Medicago truncatula: one gene and its partner. The protein of the gene in region 1 binds, or shares a complex with, the protein of each later gene. Links are inferred from orthologs where the notes say so. Each region holds a gene or a part of one and is shown on either strand. Other genes may lie near its edges.

Region 1 (7,380 bases):
AGTTAACTCCAGCCGAATTTTCCTGCCGTGGGGGCAAAATCGTATTTTACTCGTGTTCCTCAGTCTTATCAAATGTGTGAACAACAATTCTCAAAGGATTAAGGAAGATCACTTCTTTCCATAAACCCTTCTCTCTAGGTAAAAACTCTCTCACCTTTCTCTAACTTTACAGAAAAGTGAAACACCACTTTCTCTTCTCCCAAATCAAAATTTTCCTTAACAAGATGTAGATCAGCAAAGTGGTGGTGGTTCTTCCACCACCTACCCCCTTATGGGGTTTCCTTCGTCGGCGCCGCCGCGACTTCTTTTGCTTCGCCAAAGCTGCTCGCCGTAGTCACTCGGGCGGTTTATGGATCGCTGGTGGTGTTAGTGGATTGCCGATTCTTTTATTGCCGGCATTCTGTTTGGGTTTTCTTGTTCATATCCATATATGTGTTGGTGGGTTATGCTCGCAGATTGCCTCCACCATTTTGGAAGGTTCGTGTTTTTGTTTTACAATCGCGGATTCGCGGTTGTTCTTTTGTCGTCGGCGGTTGGTCGTTTCGTTCGTTTTTCTTTCAGAGACTGGGGTGATTTCGGTTACTGACTTGTGGTTGGTTTCGTAAACTCGAAAGGGTATGTTGGTTCTTTTAACCAGAAAGGGTTTGGTTGGCGACTATTGTGTTGACCTATCGATCTGGTTCAATATGTGGTTATGACGAGATTGGTTGTGGTTGGTTCCTGTTCTCTTTGATTCTATGATGTTCCAGATCTGTTGAGATCTGTAGATCTCAAGACGTCAGGTGTGCCTCCCTACCGGTGTTGGTTCGTTTTAGTCTTGTCAGACTGTTATGCTCGAAGGAGCTTTATACTTGTTGATTTTTTCAAGGAGTTGGTACGTGGATCTGGATTCCGTGTTTGCGTCCGATTGATTCGCCAATGTGAACCCTAATTGCTCTCACAGATGCCACTCTTTTCATTTTTTTGTAACTTTGTTTCGTACTCGTACGTCGGTGCGTTAGGTTGCGCTTGAAACAAGTGTTTGTTTGTTAGGATTGATTAGGTGGTTTTGCTTTATCGCGATGTATTCTCATATGGATTGTACCAGGGTCATGTCATATGTCCCCAAGTTTTTGTATGTCTTTGTTTTCTTTTTAATATATTTATCCTCGAGTAATGCTAGGGACACTTTCTCCAACACTCACTCTCTTATTGGATGAAACTAGTGTATGTCCCATCACTTTAAGTGGAACCCATTTTCAATGTGTGAGACCCAGCTTTATTTAAACCAATAATAAAGTGAATGTTTGGAAGAGTGTTGGAAAGATATTGTTGCTAGCATTACTCTTTATCCTTTGCCTAAAAGAAAAAGATAACAAAATCAAATAATACACTTCATTGTATGTTGTATTATTGTTAAGAAGAAAACGGGTTTTTATGTGTATTTTCGTAAATAAAAAAGGTTCAGTGTGTGTTTGGTTGTGTGGTGGAGAAAATTGATTTTAATATAATTGATTTTGTAGAATTGATTTTCGTTAAAAGTGAGTTTAATGTAAAGTGATTTATGTTTGGATACCCTCACAACAAAAGTGCTTTGTATGAAAAATGTTGTTTGGATACTCGATGTCAAAATTGCTTTTGGATGTGTAAATGACCAAAATGGATTTTAAGTTTTAACATACGTGTGTATATTATTTGTGGATCAATTTCTTTTCAATTTTTGTAAAATATTTAAAATTTTGTATATCATTTTTTAAATAATTTTTTTTCAACTTAAAAATAATAAATACAAATATAACCTAAATATTAGCCCAATTTTTATTAAAAACTAAAAGCATTTTTTTTAAGGACGTAAAAACACTTTTTATTATGCTTATTTTCCCCATGTTTTCATAATTCAACATCTATAACTATTTTGGTTTAGTTTATTAAATAAATGAAAGGGGTGATCCATTCGTTAAATAAGGGATAACGATAAGGACTTCCAAAATTTTTGATCAGAAAGGGATGTACCAAAACAGAAAAAGGGGGGTCTTTGGCTTTGGAGTCATATCTTTTCTAACATTGACACAAAAGCTTACTGTTTTGCAATACAAAAATGACATGATAATTGAAGGAAGGAAGAGATCGTCACTATACACAGCAAAGTTTCTTTTATTAAAGAGGGCAAAATTGACATTGCTTGTGGTTACTTTAGAATTGATTTAAGGGAAATACAAAAGCTACAAAATGTTGCTTCAACTAGAATCGATTTCAAGATTCAGAATCAGTGTTTGTTTGGTTTGGCGGCGGGGAGAATTGATTCCGGTAGAATTGAGTTTGAGATAATTGATTATGGTTAAAAGTGAGTTTGATATGAATTGATTTATGTTTGGATACACTCACTTAAAAGTGATTCTTATGAGTTGATGTTGTTTGGATAATTTTAGTCAAAATTGATTTTGAATGTGCAATGACCAAATTATCCTTTTAATTGTTTTTGAAACTAAATATCATATTTTCTTTTCAGATAATTATCTCTACCTTTCTAAAATCATAAGTACATTTTTGCTGGTTCATAAATTCCTTTTAAAATAATATGGAAGCGATTCATATGGATGAAAGCCAAACATGACACTTTTTAGTCAAACTGTGTTTGACCGCTCAAAACGCATGTTTTCCGTTTTCTAACGGGTATCCAAACAGGCACTCAATTCCATAGCAGAGATCCAAACAACCCCAATCTCAATCAAATCACGGTGGATGGCTGTAAACGTTCGTTTGCGGTTGGTGGCCGTGAAACTAAACAGGGACTCAAGCTAAAATACCACCATAATGGAAAACAATGATGAAAACAAACTGTTAATGAATATTTTTTTTTTAATAAAACATTTAGTCGAAAAATATTCACCATTCAATTGGCAGGCATTATCATTCACCAATTTTTTTTATTACCATTACATGTATTTTTTTTGAAAGGTGAATCATTGCATGTAGGCATGTACTATATAATCAAAAGAAAAAAAAACATAATTAAAAAGGAAAAAAATAAAAGACTTCTAAGTTCTAATGTCTAATTTTTTTAATAAAAAAAAGATATGCATAGTTTGTTACAATACAAATGTGTAAAATATATATAAGTATAATTTTTTTAGGCAACTACACTTGTACTTTTAATTAAAATCAAAATTTTATAAAAATAATTATATGTATTACGCAACACTAAAAAAAATTATACGCATTAGCGTAACAAAAAAAAACAGACAGACGAACATAAAATATTACTCTAAACACTAATGTGTGTGTATATATTTATGAGGTTGAAGAAAGAGAATAAAAATATTTGTTGTCATTCATTGACAGCGTGAATAAAAATATTTGCGAGGTTGTGATAATCAAAATATATTGAAATTAATATATAAGTGATAAAAAGATAATGAAATTCCTTAAAAAATTGATAATAAACTTAAATGGACCGTCATTAAAAAAAATTAAATGGATCGGTTCAAAAAATAAAATAAAATGGAAGAAAAAAGCATATTGAAAAAATAAAAGAATAGGTTGCCAGCGTGAGTTGTAGAGAGGGTGCTTGTAAAATAAATTGGGGAGAAGTAGTTTTTTGAAGTAGCATTCAACAACTTTTGGTTAAAGCACATTTCATTTAATTTTATGCATTCTAAAAAAAATACTTTTTTTCGAAGGTACTTTATTGATATTGTGTTTGGCCTAACTTCTTCTTAAAAACTTAGAGAAGCTGGAAAAAAGTTGGGCCAAACGGTACCTAACAATTCTACAACGATTCATCAAAACCTAAACCTAACAATTCAATAAAAGTTCTTTAACAATTCTAACCATTCTAACCTAAACTATCCTAACATATCATAAAATCAATAAAACCTATATAATTAAAATTTAACAAAAAAAGTTAAACAATTTGACCACAAAACAACAATGCGATAAGATTAAAAAAACTTACTTGTTTTTGTGATTGAAATTGGTTTGAAATGACTTGAAATTACTCAAAATTGCACGTAGGAGATCAAAAATGTAACAATAGAGTTTTGGAAACTCCCATATCTATTCGGTTATTGAATTCCTCGACAATTAATTGTTGAGGGACCAAACATGTATTTTAGTTGCGTGCCTCGTCTTTATGAAATGTGTCCACATCAATCTTCCTTATTTGGTGACAACTAGGGTACCCATGGAAGAATGGTGGGTAATTTACCCCAACCAATACACATTAACCACATAAGCACATTTTTAAGTGGTATTCATGAACAATCTTGACCCCACCAACAAATTTCTCATTTTCATTGGTTGATGGGTAAATTACCCACTATTTTTCAAAGGTAATTTAGAAAAAACCTCCTTATTTATTCGTACCCGAGTCGAGTTACTTTCCCGTTGATTGAATTTTCAAACAATTTGGGTTCCGCTTTCTCTCCCTCCCAAACCCTGATACAGATAAACACCCAAATTACGGCGGGAAAATCCAAACCCCACGGAATCGGCTACGAGTCACCGTAACCAATGGGTGGACGCGCCATAACCGTCCTAAACGTGGCAGAGAAGCCGTCGGTGGCGAAATCGGTGGCGAGCATACTCTCTCGCAACCAAGGCCTTCGAGTAAGGGACGGTCGTTCTCGCTACAACAGAATCTTCGAATTCAACTACACCATTCGAGGTCAACCCTGTCAAATGCTCTTCACCTCCGTCCTCGGTCACCTCATGGAGCTTGACTTCGACGATCGTTACCGGAAATGGCACTCGTGTGATCCCGCCGATCTCTTCCAGGCTCCGGTTCATAAATTCGTTCCCGAGGTAATTTCTTCTCGTTTTTCTTCTTCTTCTTCTTCGTTGTTAGAATCTTAATTTCTCTTTAGAATGTTTCTGATTATCTGTGCGATTTTGATTGCGTTGTTAAACCCTAGGATAAAAAGGATATCAAGAGGACATTAGAGGAAGAAGCTAGGCGGTGTCAGTGGCTTATTTTGTGGCTTGATTGCGATAGGGAAGGTGAGAATATCGCGTTTGAAGTTATCAATGTGTGTACTGCGGCAAATCCGAATCTTACTATTAAGAGAGCTCGATTTTCTGCATTGATTGACAGGTTAGGCGTTGTTTTGTCATGATTTTAGTTGTTTTTTTCCTCTGTTATTGTAATGCCTGTATCACTGGTACTTTAGATTGAAGGCAAGTTTGGTGTCCAACACGACACTAACACATCAATTTATCAGTTCAATTTTCTTAAATTGATCGTTTCTTTGGCAGCGGTGTGTTTAGTATCTGTGTTTGTGTATTTGATTCATAATTTTTTACTGTTGCTGCTTTGATGCAGGGAAATCCATCAGGCTGTGCAAAATCTTGTCGAGCCTAATAAGTGGTTTGCTGATGCCGTAGATGCTAGGCAGGCGAGTCTCCTTTTTTGGTCTCAGTTGGAGCTCAAATTTTGTGTTCCAATTGAAACAGGAATCTGATGTTATTGGTTTCTATCAATTTCTTTTCACTAATAACCAACATATGCTAATTGATATTGTTTACTTTGTGAGGGTGATGGATGGTTATTTTTTTTTTTTTATGCAGGAAATAGATCTCCGTATAGGTGCCACTTTCACCAGATTTCAGACCATGTTAATGAAAGATGCTTTTGTCATAGACACTGTTACAGATGGCAGAAATACTGTCTTGAGTTATGGGCCTTGCCAGGTGTGTTTATGTTGACAATATTGTGATGTTTTTGTGCTTAAGCTGGTATTGGCATATTGTGAGTTTCCATTTTGCCTTCATTTTGGCTACAGTTCCCTACGCTTGGATTTGTTGTGGAAAGATACTGGGAGATACAAGCACATGAACCGGAAGAGTTTTGGTTAATCAAATGTTCTCATAGATCAGATGAAGGCGTTGCTAATTTCAGCTGGGAGTAATATGCAAAGCTTTGTGTGCATTCACAATTGTTATTGAGTTTTACCAACTGCTTATAATCTGAATTCACTTGGCAGGCGGGGACATTTGTTTGATTATACATGTGCTGTCATAATATATGAGATGTGCATCGAGGAACCAACTGCAACCGTAAGTGTTCACCAAACTGTGGCTTGCATATGCTGAAATCAGTTTTTTTTTTTTTTTTTTTTACTGATGATACATATTATTACCATTCAGGTGACAAAAGTAACACCAAAGGAGAAGCCAAAGTATCCTCCCCATCCCCTGAGTACTATTGAGCTTGAGAAACGGGCCTCACGATACTTCCGTATGAGCTCTGAGCGCACAATGAAGGTGAGTAAATATTGAGAATCCATGTATTTCATTGTTGGTAATGAGTTTGGAATATATAAGAGCAAGCAATGCATTTGTAGACGATGCTGCAGAAAAATCCTAAAAAACTTACAACCCAGCAGTGTTTGAAATTAAACTCCTGTTCCATAACTGTGTCTGCATGCATATGTGTACCCATCTCCTGTTCCTTACCTGTGTCTGAATGCATATGTGCCCTGCAAAAGGTACATTTTGTTCAACAGTTTTTCTAACTGCTTTCCTGCTACTGTATTTAGTCATTGGACAAATGTTCTGATTACGTGTATCTCTGTTTGCCACAATGTGGTGAATGAACACATTAAGCTACACAATAAATGTGCTTACAGTTAGTGACATGAGTTTTTTATTTCAAGTTCCAACTTTTTGTTTTTCATAGTTTTATGGGTATCATTGTTTTTATACACGTCTCTTATTCCTTTTTTAATTATTTATAGGTGGCAGAAGAACTTTACCAAGGTGGTTTCATCAGTTATCCTCGTACAGAAACTGATAACTTTTCTTCAAGGACCGATTTGCATGTGGGTAACTTTATCTTCTGTTTCACGCACACATAATTATTGGTTGGTCATCCCAGATGAATTTGGAGAACATGCTGCTTGACATGGATTTTGTGTAGTTGTTGCACTTATTTGGGTTGTATACTACAAATTAAAGAAAAGGGGGTAAAAGAATTAGGGTTGTTGAGAGTGAAAATGAAAGAGCATTTGAGCGAATACGCGTGTCTTAATTACACCCTGGAGAATATTATATATACACTAATTAAATGGCAAAAAAGCCTAATTTCTGCAATTACCCTTATTTACAATAATTTTAACAATGGTTTTGAGGAGGTGTTCTTTATGTCATGATTAAGGTAGAAAAAAGGAAATATGGAGTGTTTATCACTTCGGATGTTGTTGGAAATTCATTAGAATATAATATGGCCATGGGTATATGGTTTCTTGTAGATACATTAAGAATGGTTTGGATTTAACATTAGACATAGTATTTTTAGGACATTACAGCATCAATTTATCCGTGTATGTATATTAGGACATTACATATATATAGAATATATGGTTTTAAGTGAGAGCTAGGATGATCTGTCTTTTGAAGCCAGTA
Region 2 (7,109 bases), on another chromosome or scaffold:
CGGAGTAAAACTTGTTTAAACTTTTAACAACATCACTTTAGAATATGGTGGTAGGTAGCCTATTCTAACAACTCATATTGGCTAGAGTCAGTAAAATTAATTTGAATACTGATACTACCATATGCACGAGAGCTAAAGATCACTATCCAAAGAAAGAACATTGGACAGTTGAATCTCCTTACCTTAATTTTACCCCGAACCAGAGGATCTGTCTCCTTCATTGCTGCCCACTTGGCTGACAAACTAGCTAAGTATGTGAAAGGAACTTCTTGGTCTACAGAAAGTATAAGTGGATTGTCACTGGCGTCCTCCATCAGGATATCTTCATTGTTAAAAACATTGGAGGCAGATCCGTTCAGAGAAGTATTACCTGTGATTACAGGAACTCTGCCCCTTTCTGTCTCTAGATTTTCAGAAACAGAAGAACACACTGCAGTCACAGAACTTTCTCTTGTTACATGAATGGTGTCTTCATGTGCCACTGCAACATTTGAGTTCATGTGAGAAGATTGGTTGTCAACAGAGTTTTCCATGGTAATATTAGCAGTATCTATATGCATCTCCTCAGCTATTGAAGAAGTCTGGTTAGCCATTGAACTATTATGGGACACGGGATTGGTACACCGCTGCATATCAATATTCATTGACTCCACAGTTGAAACCATGAGAGGTATTAAATTTGAAGTAGCATTTTGTGCATCCATAGGCGAAGCATCTTCGGGTGTTATACTGGCACCCCGCCGGCGCTGCATATCGATATTCATTCGCTCCACGTTTGAAACCATGTGGGGTATTGAATTGGAAGTAGAATTCTGTGCACCCATGCGTGAAGTATATTCAGTTGTTATGCTGGCACCCTGCTGGCGCCGCATGTCAATATTTGTTCGCTCCGTGTTTGAAATCATGCGGGGTATTGAATTGGAATTAGCATTTTCTGCACCCATGCGCGAAGTGTATTCAGTTGTTATGCCGGCACCCTGCTGGTGCCGCATGTCAATATTTGTTTGCTCCACGTTTGAAACCATGTGGGGTATTGAATTGGAAGTAGCATTTTGTGCACTCATGCGTGAAGTATCTTCAGTTGTTAAGTTGTTACTGGTGCCAGAAATCCTGTGGCCGGTACCTGCTGTAAAACACGTACATAAAGAACAGATGAGATCAGAGTCAAGAATACTAAGACTGAGATTGGTTACATCATATGTAAATACACTTTTTCTCGCACACACATTTAGGCACTCTAATCTAGAACATAAGGACTTACCTTGGTTGTTTGCCTGGACAGTATTAGTACCGTACAACGTTGGGCTACTGTGACTGAGATCATCAACTCTACTTGCAGCCCATGCAGCAAGAGTCGCTCTGGTTGCTAAAGGAGGAAGCACTCCATTTATGGTTCTGCATGAGGATAACAAACTGATCAAGGTTTACCTATATACAGTAAAGTCACGGATTATAGTAGTAGAAGCCAGCAAGAAAGATAAAAACAACAAGAAATTTGTACGAATTTAGCTTCCCTGTTAAAATATAAATCTCCCTGCCATATCAGCCTGAATAATCCTATTGGAATAACTAATTTGTACCTTTTTCCCCTAGCTGGCTTATTTAGTTCATCAACCAGCCGCTTTCGAGCAGCATCCAGCTGCTCAACTAATCCCCCCAATACTTCAATGGTTTCAGGAACCAGCATCAACATTCCACGGCGCACTTGTACATTAGAGATTGCGACCTACAAGTACCAATAGATCCCTCAAGTTAACCCTTGCTCAGAGAGAATAGCAAATAAAACCATCATGGACATGTATATATGTGCATTCGAATGAAAAGAAAAAAGGATGACTTGTGGCATAGAAGAAACCTTTAAACCAGAAGATGCACAAACTTCAAGAGCATTAATAGACCTGTACTCCATCCCAAAGACTCTTTGAATACCATCAGTCATTGACAACTTCAGGCACCTTTTACGCGTTGGAGGAGCTTGTTGATATCTGCTTCGCAGAGGACAACAGAGATTGACAATTTCATCAACCTGCCAACGCGTTAAGGTATAAAGTCTACAGGTACCACATATGAAATCGATCGCAATTAATGACACGCACGTAGAAAATATACATCAGCAACCATCTAAGCAAAAAATACTTAACCCACTGTCCATCACATAGGAGCATAATTTGGATCCTAGCAACCCAAGATACTATAAACTCCCATAAAGGACTAAAGGAATGTTCAAATTCAAATTATTTTTTGGTTCCTAAAATGCATCTAATTGCAATTTTTTTTAAGTATTAATAACGATGATTTGGCTACAAAGTCAAGCTCTTACCACAGAATCAGTTGCATTGAATCATGTAAAACAATTGAATCATGTAATCATTTGATTTAAGCATTTTTTTCAAACATCTACCTATAGTATAAAGTAAACCTCCAAATTCACAATAATTCTAACAATAAGATAAAGAATGTAACTAATTAACGGCCAAATTGAACGGAATCGAAACCTGCAATACGTAGGGACCAGGGAGAGTATCGAGATGCATGGAAGCAACATTCGAAGGGAGCACACCACTACCACAGAAATTGAGATCAGAAAATAGAAACTGCTCGAAACAGAGTTTTGCCTTTGTAGCAACATCAAACCCTTGGAAGCCGTTCATCGATTCCCCTAGTTCGCGAATACAAGTAGCAAGCGAGTCTCTCTTTATGCAGAATCCAAAACGGCGAAGAAAATCGTTGACGGGACAATCCGAAGCCTGAGGTGGAGGAACCGGCGGAGGAGGTGGTGGAGGAGTGGGAAGGGAGTGGTCATCGGAGACGTCATCGTCGGAGAGTACGACTGGTTCCGAGGGAACTATTTGAGGTTGTGGTAGAGGTTGAGCTTCGACGGCTTCGACGGCGGCGATGACGGCGGCTTCATCGTCGTCGTCGAGTCTGAGACGGCGTATGTGCATTTTTTTTTCGCCGGAAGAAGAAGAAGAATTGCGGATTGTTTTTTGAAAATGTGGTTTCTTCTAAACGGGAATGAGCGGGAATAATTTAGGTTACAGTTTCTCTCGTTTGAGTAAAAGGGAGGGGCGAATAGAAATTAAAACACTCTCTTGGGCCCAATTTAATCCCCAGAAATTTTGACAGCTTCTTTTCCCACCATATAAGTTTCTCACGCGCCTTATACGGTTCCGATTATGGACTCTGAATGATATAAACACTCCATAAAAACCTCCAAAATCACGTTGAAATATTTCGGATTTTACAATCCAAATAGGGCATACGAGAAACTCATAGGATGAAAAAAGATGACCAAAATTTTTACCTCGTGTTCTTACATCTATCCTCTCACTCCTTCATTTTATCCAAACTACTTATTTTCCCTCCAATATAAACATGAAACACTTCATCTTACATCTATACACTCTTACTCCTTCATTTTATCTAAACTACCTATTTTACCCTCCCAACAAGACACGTGTAGTTAAACATTGTTTATCATACAACTAGAATATCATATCTAAACAATTCTAACATAAACACCGAGTCTTTGACTGGAACACAAGAGCACCATACAACTATCATAGTCAATCAGAAAGTTGTCACAATTTATTCTTATACAAAATTAGAGAATAGGTTCATAAGAATGTTATGGGATCACAATTTTCAAATGTTAGATTTTAGAGAGGAAGAAAATGACAAAGAGGTGAAGATTTTTGGGTTTCTTGGTTTAGTTTATTTTGGTTTGATGATTATTTAGTTTCTTGAAAAGAAAGAAATTCAAGCAAATTGGTTCCTTTCTACATGGCATGTGACATGGACGAACATATCAGCCTTTAACATTGCTTGTCCGCGTGTCCAACATCTAAACATGACATAATAACTCATTTGATAAATGTGAAACAAATTGAATGACGATTTTTCTAATTTGAAAAATGGAAGAACAAAATTGATCAATTGGTATAAATTTGAGGAGGAACAAACATATTCACTCCATCAATAATTTTAGTAAGGTCTAACTTTTATATTTTTAGTGCATGAATCTCAATAAGTGTAATGGTGTGTTTTTCTTTAATTAAGCAAAGTTAAAATACATTTGACTTAATATTTTTTGCTTAAACCAAAAAAAATTAATTAATGAATTCTTTAACCAATGTTTTTCTATCTCTCTCATCTCTTATTTTCTCTCATAATTTTTTTCGCATTCTCTCTCCTTTTTTATAGTGTAAAATCATTCAAATGTAGAGAACCCAAAAATTAGTCCAGACTTAAAGTTTAAAGTATTCAAATTTATTTAATTTCATTTGATAGGATATGACGAAAATGCAGTTTAGTTTAGGTAAATTCTTAGATACTCTATAAGTAAAACTATTTAAAATAATATTTTAAAATAAAATAATATAATATAAAAATGTGATATGTCATTGAATAATAGTGCTACGTTTTCTTGAGAACTATGTTTTTTTACATTGAAAAAGGTGATAATTGGCATTTTAACAACGGCAAAATGCTAACTTGTGTCCTCAAAGGTACATGTTAAGGAACTCATTATGAAAATATATATATCAAAAGTCGTGCATTCAACTTCTTAAAAGTTAAAATATCATATTTTTTAATGCAAAGTTACACTTTTGAAGTTATTTAACATGTGCCTTTAGGCACAAGTTAACATGACCCTTTAACGATATATGAACTTTGCTTGGAAACCTTTTTTTATTAAACTTCTTGTTTGGAAACTACAGAGAGAGAGAGAGAAAAAATTGGAGTATATTTTTTGCTGGAAAACATGGGTATATAGCCAATTAAATGATTATGTTGTACATGGTGAGGCAAATTTGTTCACTAAATAACATCCTCAATGATACTTCGTCAAAAAATTAAAATCCTTAATGATACTTTTTTTTAAGAATCTTTAATGATACCTGTTAGCAAAACTTGTTATTTAAAAAAATATTGTAAACCATCGTGTTATCGTCATAGTTCATGAATCAATCACAAGTACAAAAACAGTTTCAAATGTTTTTCACTAATTAATTTGGTCACCATTTATATTTTACCTTTGTTACTTTTGTTCTTTGAATGTGTCTTCTATTGATCAATTTGCTCTAACAAATCACTAACAAAATAAACACTCAATAACGTTTTTTTAATTTTGTTATATTCAAAACTATAGAAATCCTCACATATGTAAAGACTAAAAATAAATAAAAACTAAACTAATTAAACCATAAACTAATTCATGAAGGGGTAATATAAGTTGAGTTCTGATACGTCCACCAACTTATGTGGACAAACACCCCATACCACTCATAGTTGGCGCATATTTAACAATTTTTTTTGCCTAATTCATATCATACAAAAAAAAAATTGTGCTTCTTTCCTCTCGTTCATTATTCAGTCCAGTTTCTCTCTCCCCCTGTTCTAGTTTTTCGCCGGCGAGAAGAATTTTGCATTCAATCACTTTACCTTCTTCAATCAATTCAGTAGGGTGAGAAAGGGGTTATTGATGCTCGCGACTCTCTATCTCTCTTTGTATCACGTCTCGTTCGCTCTCGACAGCCTTCAAACTCACCGTTCTTCTCCAATTCTCCATTTTCGATTCTTGTAAGTTCTGTCACCTTCTTCAGCGCTAACTCCTGATTCATATTCCATACATAAGGTTATTAGGGTTTATATTTGCGTTTGTGCCTGTGTTTTTCAATTCCAAGTGATTGCATGTGTTCAATGTTCAATGTCAATTCAAATTGAGCTTGTTCAATATTTGATGCTGATTGTAAGTGATTGCATTTATTCTTGTGGTTTTGTCAATTTCAAATTTGTGAAAGAACACAATTGATCTAAGGAAATGTTGGAAATGCTAAGGTTATATGTTTTAATTATTTCTATATCACAAATTATCCTATGAAAACTATATCATTTTAAGCCAACCTATCATGTAAAAATTAGATAACCAAAACAATGAACAATGCGATTACGCCTGAGTAAATGTGGTTACGCCTTTGTAAAATTATGGTTATATGCTTCAGTTAATTGGTTAGTAGAATTATCATTTTAAGACTATATAATTTTAAGCAAATCTATCACTAAAATACCAATTGTGATCAACTTTTAAGTTTCATGCACTGGAATTGCTTTAATTTGTTTGCAGATTAGTAAACTTATAGATGAGTAATTTTAACACAGAAAAAAAAATATGGTTACACCTTTGTAATTATTGGGAAGTCTTTCTCAATTTTGGTTAGTTTTTGTGAAGCCTGTTAAAGATGAACAATAGTTCACCTCTCACCCATGCTCATTAGTCAAGATTATCTAGTTTTCCCAAATGTATTCCTTTCACATAATTTAGGTGGATAAATAGTAAGAAAGAGATAAAATGTATCTCAAATCTCATTTTTGGATAAAACGTGGTTCCACTTTTGATAAAACTTGCAGCTTATAAAAGAAGTTGTTTATGGTCAGACGAACGTTAAATGTGGTGAACTAGTGTGCTTCGATGTTCGTTTGGCCTAAAATGTCATTCTTTTTAAATAGGAAGTTACAGTTAACCATAAATTTGGTCTGTGTGACCACAATCTTTCAGTTGTGTGACCATCATTTTTCTAGATTTTTGAATTTCTTTTCTCAACCATTACACTACCCAGTTGATTTCCCGTGGTAATTCTAGCATTGTCTAGCCGACAAAATGGTTATGTGTATGCGATGAATGTCATTTAGTTTGTTTGATTTCATAAGTGTTTTTTGTTTTTGTTAATGCCTTTCCTTATATGTCGCCTTTGGAATTCTTGTTTATTATAGTTATGTCTCAGGCATCAATGTAAGTCAAAGTATATTACTAAAGTCAACGAGAAGCTTACCGAACTTCAAACGTCTCAATGTCAGAAAACACCATTTAAATGAAGGTGTCAAGGAGGACGTCTCCATGGATGAGATTGAAAGGGTTATTGAAAGGGAGGTCACAAATGTATCAGATGATGAAGCACATCATGAATCAAATTTGTTGACTATAATTAAGGACAAGCCAAGAAACCATGTAAAAAGTGGGGTTCTGCTTTCATCGTGGGTGAAGGATGGACGCATAAATAAGATGATTTAAATTAGTGTAGTGTTTTGATATGATTGTAATGTAGAAT

The links.
Region 2: DNA topoisomerase 3-alpha (region 1) and recQ-mediated genome instability protein 1 share a complex: the UniProt entries of both Arabidopsis thaliana proteins name them as parts of the RMI complex. The link is inferred for Medicago truncatula from reciprocal best matches to the Arabidopsis thaliana genes TOP3A and RMI1.

Annotation. Positions count from the first base shown.
Region 1 is NC_053044.1:47,665,296-47,672,675, reverse strand, and holds the start of DNA topoisomerase 3-alpha, read left to right. Parts: upstream 1-4,358; 5' UTR 4,359-4,491; coding exon 4,492-4,782; intron 4,783-4,892; coding exon 4,893-5,071; intron 5,072-5,299; coding exon 5,300-5,372; intron 5,373-5,544; coding exon 5,545-5,667; intron 5,668-5,759; coding exon 5,760-5,881; intron 5,882-5,960; coding exon 5,961-6,033; intron 6,034-6,123; coding exon 6,124-6,240; intron 6,241-6,713; coding exon 6,714-6,797; intron 6,798-7,380. UniProt on the Arabidopsis thaliana protein: Releases the supercoiling and torsional tension of DNA introduced during the DNA replication and transcription by transiently cleaving and rejoining one strand of the DNA duplex.
Region 2 is NC_053049.1:44,633,498-44,640,606, reverse strand, and holds the start of recQ-mediated genome instability protein 1, read right to left. Parts: upstream 3,012-7,109; 5' UTR 2,946-3,011; coding exon 2,496-2,945; intron 2,027-2,495; coding exon 1,856-2,026; intron 1,727-1,855; coding exon 1,581-1,726; intron 1,396-1,580; coding exon 1,262-1,395; intron 1,127-1,261; coding exon 183-1,126; intron 1-182. UniProt on the Arabidopsis thaliana protein: Essential component of the RMI complex, a complex that plays an important role in the resolution step of homologous recombination, in a process called Holliday Junction dissolution, to limit DNA crossover formation in cells.